Astyanax mexicanus: one gene and its partner. The protein of the gene in region 1 purifies or fractionates together with the protein of each later gene. This does not show direct contact. Links are inferred from orthologs where the notes say so. Each region holds a gene or a part of one and is shown on either strand. Other genes may lie near its edges.

Region 1 (7,319 bases):
GTCTAGGTAGTAGAGTGTGTGATTTTTTAGGCATGTAGCTATAGTTAGCACAAAGCTAATTGGTGGGGTATAATCAGAGAATCTTCCATTACTTGTTAGCAGGATTAGCCTCAGGGAAAAAGAAACCACACATGTTTTGGAAAACTGACTACATCCATACTAAAATGGGAGTACCATTTTAGTCCCTCTATCAAATCTATTTTTTTTTTTTGATAAGAAACTGATTATTTTAATCAGATGTTTTAGGAGTGGTCTACCTGCATAATGTTGCCCAAAGACAACAGATGAAAAAAACACTGTTTTAGTAAGTAAATATAATAAGAATATAAGAAGCCAAATGTTTTTACACATTCTTGCACATATACATATTTGTATTTATGAACCAATTGTACAACTCATTGCATTTGAAGTAGATATGCCTTTTAACATTATATATTTTTAAATATAATTAAGGTATGGGGTAATACCCAACCATTTGGATTTGTTGTCTGAGGGCAACACTATGCCATAGAGGGTTAAGGCACATGTTTACCCACAACACAGCAGGGCAACAATGATTTAGGTGGTGTGAGACTGTGATGTGATGAACTGAATATAGGATAAATGAAGGCTTGTCAGTACTGATTAGTATAATTAATACATAAATTAGCTAGTTACAGTTTTAGGGCATCCAGAATTCACAAACACACACACATACACAGTTGAACTATCAAAAGCAAGGCATGACGGGTGTGTTTTTAGAGGCCAGTGAGCTGCTGATGATGGTTTGATACAGCACTGCAGCACCTGCTAGCCTCATACTCGCGCGCGCACGCACGCGCACACCCATACACACACTAAACCCAGTAAACTCAGGGTACCAGGGCACAGGGTTTTTCTTCAGCGTGTCAGTGAGTGATGCATCGGCGTGGTTGGTATTAAGCCTTTATCTGTCTTAACACAGTGAATGTATCTACAGGAACACCCACATACCACACACACACATACACACACACACACACACACACACACTAAACACAACAGTTTTTTTACTCACGTATCTCTTGAGCTTTTTCTCTGGCGGGGATTTGACGAGCCATCCGGTACACACCACGTCCCCTGAGCTCATGTCTGTGTCCATGTGTCTCTGTGTATGTGTTCTCTCTGTGTGTGTGTGTGTGTGTGTGTGTGTGTGTAGACTGAACACAGAGCAAATCCTGTGTGAAGCCTCCAGCGTCTAGATGAGGAACTAACTAGCTAGCACTGATCAGAGAGAGAGAGAGAGAGAGAGAGAGAGAGAGAGGGGAGGGGAAAGGGATGAGGCAAAGAAAGATAGATATAGTTCTCCAGAAGAGCCAGAGGAGTGGGAGAGAGTGTGTGTGTGTGTTTTTCTAAGCTTTCTTGTAAATGAATTGGAAAGAGAGATAGAGAGGACATGTACGTATTTGCATGCAGTGTTGAGTGTGTGTGTATGTTCTTTTTTCCTTCTTTGTGTGTGTGTATGTGTGTGTGGGTGGGTGGTTGGTTGGGAAGAGATGACCCTCCTATTAGTGTGACACAGTAGCACATGACCCTGTGTGTGTGTGTGAGTGTATATGTGTGTGTCTGTCTGGAAAATGCTGCGAAGCCACTTTTAATGGTTTACTGGGCCATCTGTTACTCAGAGAAGGAGATGGGAACTGTGCTTTATATGACATATGTCATACTACTATTACTACTACAGCTAGTGTAGTGCTACTACCATAAGTAACAATTGTATTAATACTTCTACTACTAATACTATTCTACTACTACTACTACTACTAATAATAATAATAATAATAATAGTACAATTGTACTAGTACTACTAATAATAATAGTTGTAAAATACTATTATACTACTACTACTGTAACTACTACTACTACTACTACTAATACTACTACTACTACTACTAATAATAATAATAATAATACAATTGTACTAGTACTCGTTTTAAAAATACTATTCTACTACTACTACTAGTGTAATAGTACTACCATTATTGCTACAACCATTAAGCATTAAATAGTGCTATACCCCTAGCACTTCTATTGCGACTATTTTACTACTGCAGCTTATGTTAAGAATAATCATATTATTATTACACTATTACTCTTACTACTAGTACTAGAGCTACTATTAGTATGAATAATTACATTCAACTAGACTACTACACTAATGATAAAATATACCAATAAATATACAACTACCATTACTACAAGTAATACAACCAATGCTACTACTACTACTAAAAATATATATAATAATAATAATAATAATAATAATAATAATAATAATAATAATAATAATAATAATTTGAAAGTCTTTAACAAATGTTAATTACATCGAAAAATAAATTAAATACCCCCACTAGCTCATTTAAAGCCAGTGACAGTTTAGAAATAACAATAAGCATTCAAACTCGAGAATTAGCTGGTTTTGTCGCCCTCTAGTCGCCAAAGCTATTTACAACACAGTAATAAAAAGGTAAAACAGAGGAATACATTCAAACTGTGATAATGAAGTTATCTGTTCAATTATTTAAATATTGCAAAACAACATCTCATTTGTACTTTGTAATAGTTTAGTCTCTAAATTAATTTGAGTCTTACCTAGTTCTTAATGTAAAGAAAAAAAGCTGGTAATATACAAGTGTAGATACAAAACCCTTTATTTCTGCAGTAAAATGAGTTATTTATATTCTAAAACTTTGTGAGCTTTGTAGGGATTCTCCCACAGACCACTTGGAGAAGCTGCATGTTCACTCTGTACTCTTGATAATTTATAATGATTAAGATAATAATTATAATTATTTATAATAATAATATCAGTTTTGAGAGGAATCAACCCCAAATTCTGCATGTTTGAAATAGACATAAAAAGAAGACAATTGTAACAAAATGAAATGTTTGGAGGACATGAAATGATTAATTCATATTTAGGGAAATATTTATTTAAAAATGTTAAAAGTTCAGGAAGGTGCCAATTTTGTGATTTTCATTCATAATTCTTATATTCACTTGACAAATAATTTAAAATCTTTTCAATTACTTTTACAGCTAATATTTTTAATAATGTTTTTTATCAAACATGAAAATTTTATATGTAATGCTCAAAGGGAAATCCTTAATACTGCTAAAAAAAATTCATTGGCTTAACTTCAAAAGTTATCATTTTGCTTTGGCTCAGTTAAGTTGTAAATACATAACATGTTAAGTTCATTCAACTTAACTCAGTCAAGTTATCATTTATACCAAGTATGCAAATAGATTGTGACAGAGGCCAATGGAAAATAAGCTGCCAATGACATTAGACTAAACTCAGCTATTATAAGTTGGTTATTATTATTATAATTATTATTATTATTATTATTATTATTATTATTATTATTTATATATGGTCCACTTGTGTCCACATTTATATATATTCCTTTTAATTAAGAAATGTTTGGTTACCCCGTGTCCTACAGTAATAAACCACATCAAATCCTGGATGTTTCTTGAGATTTCTTTGGAAATTATATTACTTTTCATCACTTTTTTCTCTCAGTGGGGCTTAGGTTCATATGTTAGGGAAAAAACTCCATGTACATATTTAAATATTTTGTGGTATGCATTTTTACTTTGATCAACATTGCAATTTGTGTTTATCGGCTCTTTTTTGTGGATAAAATCCCTACAGACTTCATTGTAGTATGTAATATTTTGTGGAGGTTTCCCCACATTTCCTTTTCACTACTCCAGACTGCATTCTATGTCACTGACTGTGAAACAATTGGGTAAAAAGCCGTTTTTAACATGTTTTGTTCCACTAGTCAAAATTATTTTATTGTTTTTTTCCCCTGTAAATCACCTTTATCAAAAACACTTCTCAGAATATACTTCATTTTATAGCTCATGAATTTTCATGAGCCTATGGCTAATCAGAGGCAGCAAACCTTGTCCCTTTCCTAAACATATATAAACGCTGATAAAAGAGCATTGACACGTATAGTATACCAGAAGTTGGTTGAAATCACGTTTGTTCATTGGCTCAACAAACATTTTTAAGTTTTCAGATTGAAGTTCTCTGAACTCATTTTATTGAGTTGTCCTGGCCGGTAAGTTCACTTAACTGGATTATATTTCTTCTCCTGACTAAAACACAAAATCACGTTTAAGAGTGAAGATATAGCTGTGTAATATCAGGCAGAAATTTGACAAAAACGCCGGCATGTTAAGGGGTTAACGAGAGTAAATCAGACTTGAGGGTTTGTTTACATCAATGCATTTCAAAATCTCGCGGTACTTCGGGGCTCTACCATCGCGATATTTCCCGCTGAAGGGGGCGTATGCCTGCCATGTCTGAAGCTGCGGCTGCGAGCTGTGTTTTTCTGTGTGAAACTCGCTGAGCGGCTCATGAGAGGCTAAACATGTCTGATGAAGAGGTGCCGTCAACCTCTGGGGAGCCCGGGCCCGGGAAGGAGAAGGTAAATCGGACATTTAACCGCAGAAACAACAAGAAGTCACAGAGCTGAAGTTGTGTTATTTTTCTCCAGCTCCATATTCGAATTTTCCGCTCCACCTTAAACTGGGCGGCGGTTAGGCTTTGGCGCCTGTTCTGAGCGCGCTGGCCCAGTACAGTAGTTTTTAAGGTGGAACGGAACATGCCAATATGGAGCCAACTTCAGCCTCCACAGCAAGCACAAGTTTTCTACAGCACAGAAATGGCGAATTTCGCTGGAGACTCAGCGCTGAAATACACCAATTAAACATTTCCCAACACAAACTATAAACTAAACCAAAACACGCAGATTTATATAACAACATCTGTCTCCAGCTTTCCTAACTCTGTCTCTGTCTGTCGTGCTGCTGCTGGGTGAGACTCCCAGGCCCAGATTTATCACATTAAATAGCTCCTTCGTTCTTGGTAATTTAGTTTGTGTGATTCTGGTTTCTTTCAGGAGGTCAGTCTGATATTGGTACTTTAATTAGCTGAATTTAAACCTGACACCTAATTTCCACATGAGTAACACTGTAATTACAGTAATCAATAAAAATGATATATAACGTTAGCTATATGCTCCACTACTTATATCATTATTCATGATTATATATTATATCAAAAGTTGCCTGTAGTAATTCTGGGATTTAAAGGTGTAACGTTATATTATAACTGTACATTTTTTTAAAAAATGCAGCTCTGGAAAAAAATAAGAGACCATTTAAAAATTATGAGTTTCTTGATTTGACCAAACTTCAAACATCTGGAATATAATCAAGAGGAAGATAGATGATCACAAGCCATTAAACTAAGCTGAACTGCTTGAATTTTTGCACCAGGAGTAGCATAAAGTTATCCAAAAGCAGTGTGTAAGACTTGTGGAGGAGAACATGCCAAGATGCATGAAAACTGTTATTAAAAACAGGGTTATTCCACCAAATATTGATTTCTGAACTCTATGAATATGAACTTGTTTTCTTTGCATTATTTGAGGTCTGAAAGCTCTGCTTCGCTGTTGTTATTTCAGCCATTTCTCATTTTCTTCAAATAAATGCTGTAAATAACAATAATTTATTTGGCATTTGGGAGAAATGTTGTCCGTAGTTTTTATAATAGAACAACGGATTCAGAAACTGAAGTGGTCTCTTAATTTTTTTTAGAGCTGTATAATCTGTTTTATGGTTCTTTCTGGACACATTTCATTTATTTTATTAGTCTATTCTTGTCATTTTAAAGGGATTTTCCAGAGAAATGTTTTACTGGGGGAATACTCTAAATGTATTGGGAAAACCTTGCTTTAAAGTGAAGTGTACAAATAAATCAATCCAAAAAATATTAGTAGTAGTATTGGTAGTATTAGTAGCAGTAGTATGTTTATAAAACATACGCTTGTATTAGTATTACAATATTTTCTACTGCACAAACAGTAAAATTACCACAATATTGCATAATATTAATGTTTCTAATACCATTGTACTACTATAAATATTGAGAATATTAGTAATAATAATAGTAATAATAATTTTTCACTTGAACAGTATTAGTCCACCCTCTCCACCCTAACAGCGCTTGGCGTCACCTGAGTTTTGATCATCGACCCCACCCTGCTCAACTGAACTCTATTAACAGGCTCTATAAAGGAGCCCCAGTTAAGAGTATTTTATTTGAACTCTTAGCTCTGAGTGTTTTATGTCTATTCTGTATCTGGTATTCTGACCTTAAGCTTTGATTTTTTACTACGTCTCAACATCGTCCTCTGATAACCCTGTTTGCCCGTGATTTGACCCTTATCTGTCTTTTGGATTGTGTGTGGTATAAGCTCTGCCTGCACTTGCATCCGGTCTCATTATTAGTTTAAGATGACAATTTTCTATGGCATGGGCAGTGAAAAAATCACAATGTTGCATAGTATTAGTTTTGCTTTTAGTACTGTACTACTATGAGAGCAATAATAATAATAATGATTATTATTATTATTGTTATTATTATTATTATTATTATTATTACTATTATTATTTTAAGACAGTTTAATAACCATTCCTAGTTCTACCTTAATGAAGTGAATGAGAGAATAATGAGTAAGCAAAGTTGGCATCAAAGCAAAAGATGTTACACTGAAGAAAAAAACATATTTTGGCCTGTTTAACACACTTTATTTTATAATTTCATATGAGTTTCTTCATAGTTTTAACGTCTTCACTATTAATCTACAATGTAGAAAATAATAAAACGTCCCTGTTCACTGCGCCACCACCAGGAGGTGTTCTGGGTTAAGGAGCAAAACATCTATGAGCGGTGGTCCCCAGCTGATGACCCTGCAGTTAGTAAACAAGACACCGGTGGAGGTGCTACATGCCTAAAGCACAGCAGGAAAACTTCTGTCTGTATAAATAAAAGAAAAAAAACATTAAATGAGCAGTGGCATGTCCTTGGTCTGGTCCTGTATAAAATTGGACGGTTTATGTGACTTGTGTTTGTGTATGTGTGAAGGATCCTCCGTTCCTGCTGGGCCCCCCTCCAAAAGCAGCAATAAAAGAAGGCACAGTGGACCCTGAATATGAAGAAAAAAGAGTGAGTGTTAATTACGAGTGTTATAATACTGCTAGGAATCACTGTCAATTCTGTGTGAATGAAAACACTTTACCTTATCTCCTTCTCTGTTTCTCTCTCTCTCTTTCTCTGTAGAAAGCAGACAGGGCTAACAGGTTTGAGTTCCTGCTGAAACAGACTGAACTCTTTGCTCACTTCGTCCAGCCAGCGAGTCAGAAATCCCCCACATCGCCCCTGAAGGTGCGGATGGGGAGACCCCGCACCAAACAGGATGAGAAACAGAACCTGC
Region 2 (7,463 bases), about 18 Mb from region 1:
GGGCCAATTACTGTTGGTTTGCTGTTTTTCTCGGGGTTTGAGTGCTCGACGCTGACTCATCTTTTGAGACAGGGCGCGGGTGGGGGGGTGATGGGCCCTGCATTGTTTAATATCACCATATACAGTATACTGTTAAAAAAATAACATTTGCAATGTAATTTTTTTCTAATATTGTGCAGCCCTACTGTGTGTTTCAGCAGTGAATGCAACTTTCAATCAATGCAGCATTTATTAGAAGGGATGTCCACAAACATTTGGACATACTTTATGGTATGACATTCACTAGAATGAATAAAAGCAATTAATCTAAAATGATTAGTTTAGTTTTTAGATTCATTACAGGCTCAAAAATTGTAACTGTTTAAAATAGAAATTGTAATAAAATACACTGACATACCAAAAGTAATTTACAGAAATTTGTATCCCATGACTTTTGGCATGTCTTTTGGAAGCTAAAAATACTGCACTGACTCTCTGCATTAAATGTTTATGTGACTTAGCCTCCGCCTTTAACCCATACATTCAGTGAAAACACACATTTTTGTGAGAACACGTGCCCAGAACAGTGGGCAGCTGGTGCTTTCGGCACTCAGGGAGCAGTGAGGGTTAAAGGCGTGTATTGAACCCACAACCCAGTGCTCTAACCACTGAGCCACCACTGCCCTAACTGTCTGTTCATATGGACAATTTTACTCAGAATCCTGTACACTGTGGGTGGTAATGCCTTCTATGAGGTATTTCCAGTTTACAAATGACTGCACAATATCTGCACAATCTAAGAAATGGAATGTCCTGTCTTCCACCTGGCACCCACTATCAGACCTCACTCCAACTCTGATCATAAACATTGCCTTGCTATGAGCATGCTGACCACTGTTCAACCACACTTACCTCAAGATAGCACCTCACAACTTACACAAGTAAGGGCTATCCCACTCCTCCTAAGATTTTATGATTAATTTGCATTCTTCTACACCATCTTTTGGCATGTTATTAAAAATGAAGTACATTAGACCATGATAAAGCATTTTCTGTTTGATGGAATGTAATACAATCTTTTTCACAGCATCCACACATACATATGACACAAACACATACACTGGAGAAAGTCTAGATCTATCCCACAGCTCAATCTTAAAGGATCATTCCTCACGTTAAATTAGCCATGGCTGGAATTCCTCACTGACCTTTGCATACATGAATTAAAATGCTACGTGACCATCGCATATACCCAACACGCCTTGCCAATACTAAAACAACCACCCTACAGCTTTTCCTTTAAGAACAAATCACAGAAAACACATTTTCAGGGACTTTTCACACGATCTGAGTTTGAGATAAACAAACCGTTTGGCAGCTCTAAAACGCAAGCAGCTCAAAGTGTGAGAAACTGAAGTCTAAAAGAAACACTGCAGATTACTACTGAGGTCAGCAGAAACATTTCATAATAGCTTCATACTTCATCACTGATGCCTCAATAATGATCATGGAACATTCTCTGAAATGGAATGCTTGTTTTGGAGCAAGTTCAAAGGCCGATGTTGATCTGTGTTACTATCAAATGATAACATCTATTGTACAGAATAATAACTTTCAAATAGGATAAAGCATTCTGATTCTATAGAGATGTATTACTGTCAATCAAAATAACAATACAAACTTCACATCCTTACTATATACACTTCATGTTTATGACATGAAATATTATTATAAATTAATTCTAAGAATGTATCATATTATGAGATATTTTTGTATAATTATGTCAAAGGACATTTTTTAAATTACCTTACCTTATTATAAAATAAAAAAAGACATTACACAATCCTGACAGAACATCCTGAAATTAAGATTAAGTATCTCTTTATGAGCTACTTTTTTATATTAAAATAAAATGACATGTTTTATTTATGTCAAAGAACATTTTTGAAATGCCAAAAAGTAACTTATTATAAAATAAAAAATGACATGCCATAATCATGACATAGAATATCTCAAAATTACAAAAATGTATCTCATTATGAGCTTCGTCTTTGAAAACAAAAGGACATATTTGAAATTCTGAGGACATATCCCATTATGGGGTATTATATCATAAGAATTATTATGAAGAATTATGCATTTTTTTTTTATTATGTGGAAATATTGCAATTATGAGATAATATGAAATGATAACAACAAATGATGTGCCATAATTTAGAAATAAGCAATCTGCAATTATGGGATAAATATCTCCTTATAACATATCATATTTTTTTATAGCTATATATAATTATGGCAGGCTAAATTTGAAAATGTTGTTTTACTGTAATAATATAAAATGTATAGTGTCACAATTACGGAGTGATATTTTTATGATGTCTTATAATATCCCACTGATAATATATTGCAAAATTGTTGTTTTAATATTTGAAGGGACACAATCGCCACAGCATATCTCTTAAAAATAATAAATAAATAAATAAATAAATGCAATAAACAGCTTCGTAATGTGAATATGGACAGCCTAAATCTCTAATCCAAAAATACTTTTAATATCAAAGTACTTTGACAGCTTATACCCCTTTTAAGAAGATAAAGTAAAGTAACGTTTTTTAAGATTTTTTTTTTTTTTCAAAAACATTAAAAAACAAACAAGGACATCCAAGATCATTTAATCATACAACCAAAAAGTTTTACGAGCTAAACAAAACATTTATATTTATATTCTTTATATGTCATTCATCAGCAAATCTAACTCCCTCATGTTCTTAGTTAGGCAGTTAAGAGAATCAATAAACAAATCAAATTCAACAAGAAATAGATTTAAAAGGGTTTACCTTTTTGTGTAATGTAGCTACTTGATAACTTTACAGAATTAAAATTAGTATAACGTACTAAAGCGTTACGCGCATGCGCAGTATGGACAGGCTGTCTGCAGAAATGTTATTTATAAATAAAATGAGCTAGAAAACAGAAAAGGATAAATATTGAGGGCCTAGAAAGATAAATGGGTGAATAAAATAAACACATCAGCAGCTCCGACAGTAACTGTATAAAATAAAACCGTGTATTATAATAGACTGGCTGCCCGCTCTGCTATTGGCTGCTGCGGGAGCAGCGCTGTGTGTGAGCGGGTGAAGGGTGAAGGGTGAGGCCAGAGTTGCCAGGTTCGCAGGTTTCCCGCCAAATTGGGCTTTTTTGAAAATCCAGTCGCGAGTAAAAATCTTCCTTGGATTACAACAATAAAAACCAGGAGAATATAACTATGGGAACTAACCCATTGCAAAGACTTATAATTAAAAACATTACTATTGCATTTAGATTTTATTTTTGACATTTATTATGCAGTTCATCACGAAAAGGCAAGGCCAAAATAAAGCTTAATTTTTTCTTTTCACAATTACCTTTTTTATTTTAGGTTTATTTTTTTATTTTGTGAAATACTCGTATGCTAATAAAATAAATGGCAAAAAGCCTTTTCAATTTAATTTTTTATTTTTGTCACTTATGACCCATGCTCAAGAGAAAAAATTAAATTACAAATGAATTGATTAAATTTTGTTTTTAATTTTGTTATAATATTTTCACACATGTTTGGAAAAAGAAAGTGCAAAACTGTATTTGCATTTTCATTTTAGTCTTTTCATTTAAGTTTTATTTTTGGCAGGATTTACCTCCCATGCATAATGACAAATAAATCAATGTAACTAAATATACAATGTAATCAGAAATCACAAGGCGATGAAAAAAATGTTAAAGAGGAGAAAAGAGAGCTCAGGAGGGACAAGAACAGAAATGAGTAAGTAAAAGTTTTTTTTTTTTGCTAATTATGTAACAATTAAATGTTCTTGACTGGGATATAAAACGGTTAAAAAAAATAACTAATAAAACACTAATTCCTTATAAACAAAATACTAAGTCGTCCACTCCATGCTAGGGGTGGGCGATATGGCTCTAAAATAATATCACGATATTTCAGAGTATTTTTGCGATAACGATATACCTGGCGATAGAGGAAAACTAAAATAATTAATTAATTTCAGGAATATAGTATAACAGTATAACAGAATAATCATAATGTGGCAAAAATAAATAATGTAGCATAAAATAATATAATGCAGCAAATAATATTGCAGAATATTTAGTGCATGCATATAAACTAGAAACTAAAACAATTACACAATAAATACACTTAAAGCTTCACAGTAAATAATAGGCTACTTTTAAAACAGAACAGCCCTATTACCACGATATGGATTTTTAATATCACGATATTTCTGTGTCACGATATATTGTATACGATATAATATTGCCAACCCCTACTACATGCTTAAAACGTGTGACAAACCTATATTTTGGATTAGTTTAATCTTCTGAAGGGCAGCTTTTAAGACTGACTTTGGGCTGGATGGTTTGGTTGGACCTGGCAACCCTGCGGTGAGGCGGGGGTTTTTGGATGATAAGCGGGATTCAGCGGCTCAGAGCGGCGAGTTTCTTTCACCTCAGTCCGAGAAGAGCTACCGGTTATTTACTTAAATAACCCGCTGCTGTTATTATTATATATATATTAGTGTACTGAGCGGGTATGGCCGTTAACTGATAGTTTGCGGGCGTTTTATCGAGTTAGCTTAGCCTAACTGGGCTGTTTTCTATCACACTGCAGTCACAGGTGGTTAGCTGAGCTAGCGTCAGTTAGTCGGTAGTTTTGGCGGACTGATAGTCTGTTCTGCTCTTTATTGAGCGGGACTGTATTATTGTATATGTTTAGCAGAGTTTGGAAGTGTCTCCACTCTTCCTCAGGCAGAGTTTTGGTCTATTAAAGCTGTTTAAGTTTAGTTAATTTATTAAATCACTCGTTAGCCTAGCTTACTCACTGGACTAGCTGTGTGTGAGTGAGTGAGCATGGCTGAGAGACCGGAGGACCTAAACCTTCCCAATGCTGTGATCACCCGCATTATCAAAGAGGCTGTGAGTAAACTTACCTAAACTACATACCTACCTTCCTACACACTGCTGTGCTTAGATTAAACATTTTTATCTAGTTAACCTCTAAGTCTAATTTCTGATATAAGTAAGGGTTTATTTGCAGTTTAACTCTATATATGCTAATTTAACTGATGCTACTGCCACCTGTTAGGTTGCCCACTGTTACTTGCTTACTGACAGACTCTTAACCTTAACTTTAATATTAATATACCATGTAAAAATGAATAAACTAGATAAACAAAAACAATTGAATGAGATGGTGTATCCAACCTTTTGACTGGTACTGTACATTTACCTCTATGTATATGTAAATGTAAATATGCCTGTAGCCATAGGAGCATATAGGGCTGGGCGATATGGGGGGAAAAAAACATCGTCATGATATAGTTTTCCTTATCAGTCAAAATCACGATATAAATCAAATCACTTTCTGTCACACTTAAAGGTTTCCTTTTACTCGTAAGTAATTTTAGTTAAAAAAATATTTAGTCAGTAATTAACAAATGAACATTAGAACGTTATACAACTATATAAATAAAAATAAAACACTCAAATCCTGTAAATTCAAAGATCAGATGTTACAGAATAACAAAGTGGGTGTTTCAATTCTCTGTTAAATATTCACAGAACAAGTTATATCAAAATTTTATCATCTGTGGCTTACATTTCTATCAATCGTTTTATCGCACAGCACTAGGAGCATACCATAATATCCATTTTGGTTTCCAGCATTTTATTTAATAAACCAAACTGTTTTTGTACTAATGTAAAATATGACCGTTTACATGAAAAATTTCCCTCACATTTACATGAATTTTATTCTCATTATTTAATAACACAGCAGTGTATGTATTGTAAATATACACTTTGGCTGTGAGTCTCATCAGCTTCAGTTGCGGTAGACCAGAACAACTGTGTGAAATGTAATTTTCCTTTTGTGTTGCTTTTGTAAGTTGCCAGATGGTGTAAACGTGTCCAAAGAAGCAAGAAGGGCAATATCTCAAGCAGCCAGTGTGTTTGTTCTCTATGCAACATCATGGTATGTCTGAAGACCACAGAACAGAACTTTTATCTCGCCAAATACAACAGTAAGTGTGTGACTAATCAATTTTTAAAAATATATTTTATTTCCAGTGCCAATAGTTTCGCTATGAAAGCCAAAAGGAAGACGCTCAATGCCGGAGATGTGATGTCGGCTATGGAGGAGATGGAATTTGAACGTTTCTTGCCACCCCTGCGAGACGCTCTTGAAGGTAACTGATTAGGACTCTCACAATACATTTTTGTTTGCTGTGGCACTTTGTAAAGCCTGTCAGACGTTGTGCTGCATATTGTTAAACAATATAAAAAAAAAAAAACATAAACAGCAGTTAACCCTGAGTAGTTCATCTTTACCTTTTTTATTGATCCGTTGGCCATTAGACAACTAGCTTTAAAAAGTGCTGTTTGTTCTTATGCAAAAAAGATGCAAGTAAACACAGTGGGTAATACTGAGGTCAGCAAAAGTGACCTCCATATATTAAATGATACCTTGATAACACAATTTTCACAAAAGGCCTGTAACTGATGAGACATTTCATATGTTTTTTTAGTTGGGGTCTCACATAGTTGTATACAGTGTATAGATATGGTGTTGAAAAAGAACCCTGACATGTAGTTGCAGGATTTAAATATTTGCTCTTAGAATTTTAAAAGCAGCCATTGATAAATTGTGTGTCATGAACAAACAGTCTGTAGTGACAGTCTTCTCCAGTCATCTGATAAGTGAATTATATTTATATGTATTTTTTGTTGTTGTTTAATCTTACTAAAACTGCTAATTCTGACTTTTTTAGCACATTTATTTTTAAGGGTGTACTATTACTAGTTCTAGGCTTATTTTTGCCTGTTTTGTTTATCAGCCTACAAGAAAGGACAGAAAGGCAAAAAAGAGGCATCAGAACAGAAGAAGAAAGACAAGGAGAAGAAAAACGGTACAGAAGAGCACGACAAAAGCAGAGAGGAAGAGGAGGAGGAAGAAGAGCACATGGAGGAGGAGGATGGAGAGAACGAAGGCGAGGAGGAGGATGTGGAAAATTAAGGGGTACAGCAATTTAGCAACAAGCCTAAACAGACTAAGGAGCCTGATAGTAATGTCCACGTTCTAGATGAAATTGGAGAGGAAGAAGAAACAGCTGTCAGCACTTGCTTGGTCTAATTAAAAAAGAAAGGTGTATCTGTACAAATCTGAAGGTAACAAAAGGAGTTCACTATTCTAACATGGCACTGATGTATTGTGCTATATTCCCTTCCCTACATTCTTTGACTGGTTCTAATAATAGAGTCTGTGTTGCAGAGATACTGGCTCTACTTGTAGTTGAACAAGAGTACATTCACTGTGTATATTAACTGTAGTGCCACAAATATGTGCAGTGGGGAAAGAAAATTAGGGAGTATAGATTGACCAAGCTCTGCTAACTTGCCTAACAATCATTTGAAGCTAGTATGCACCAGGTAGA

What was found. Proteins that work in one complex are often made in the same cells at the same time.
Region 2: the proteins of smarca1 (region 1) and pole3 purify together in Homo sapiens (affinity purification with mass spectrometry; 3 studies listed by BioGRID and IntAct, with this or other methods). This does not show direct contact. The link is inferred for Astyanax mexicanus from reciprocal best matches to the Homo sapiens genes SMARCA1 and POLE3.

Annotation. Positions count from the first base shown.
Region 1 is NC_064408.1:35,518,047-35,525,365, reverse strand, and holds the start of smarca1 (probable global transcription activator SNF2L1), read left to right. Parts: upstream 1-4,306; 5' UTR 4,307-4,409; coding exon 4,410-4,466; intron 4,467-6,970; coding exon 6,971-7,051; intron 7,052-7,165; coding exon 7,166-7,319. Other genes in the region: gab3 (GRB2-associated-binding protein 3), read right to left, coding at 1,037-1,120.
Region 2 is NC_064408.1:17,396,859-17,404,321, forward strand, and holds the start of pole3 (DNA polymerase epsilon subunit 3), read left to right. Parts: upstream 1-4,422; 5' UTR 4,423-4,881; coding exon 4,882-4,947; intron 4,948-5,918; coding exon 5,919-6,004; intron 6,005-6,099; coding exon 6,100-6,218; intron 6,219-6,866; coding exon 6,867-7,045; 3' UTR 7,046-7,463. UniProt on the Homo sapiens protein: Accessory component of the DNA polymerase epsilon complex. Participates in DNA repair and in chromosomal DNA replication.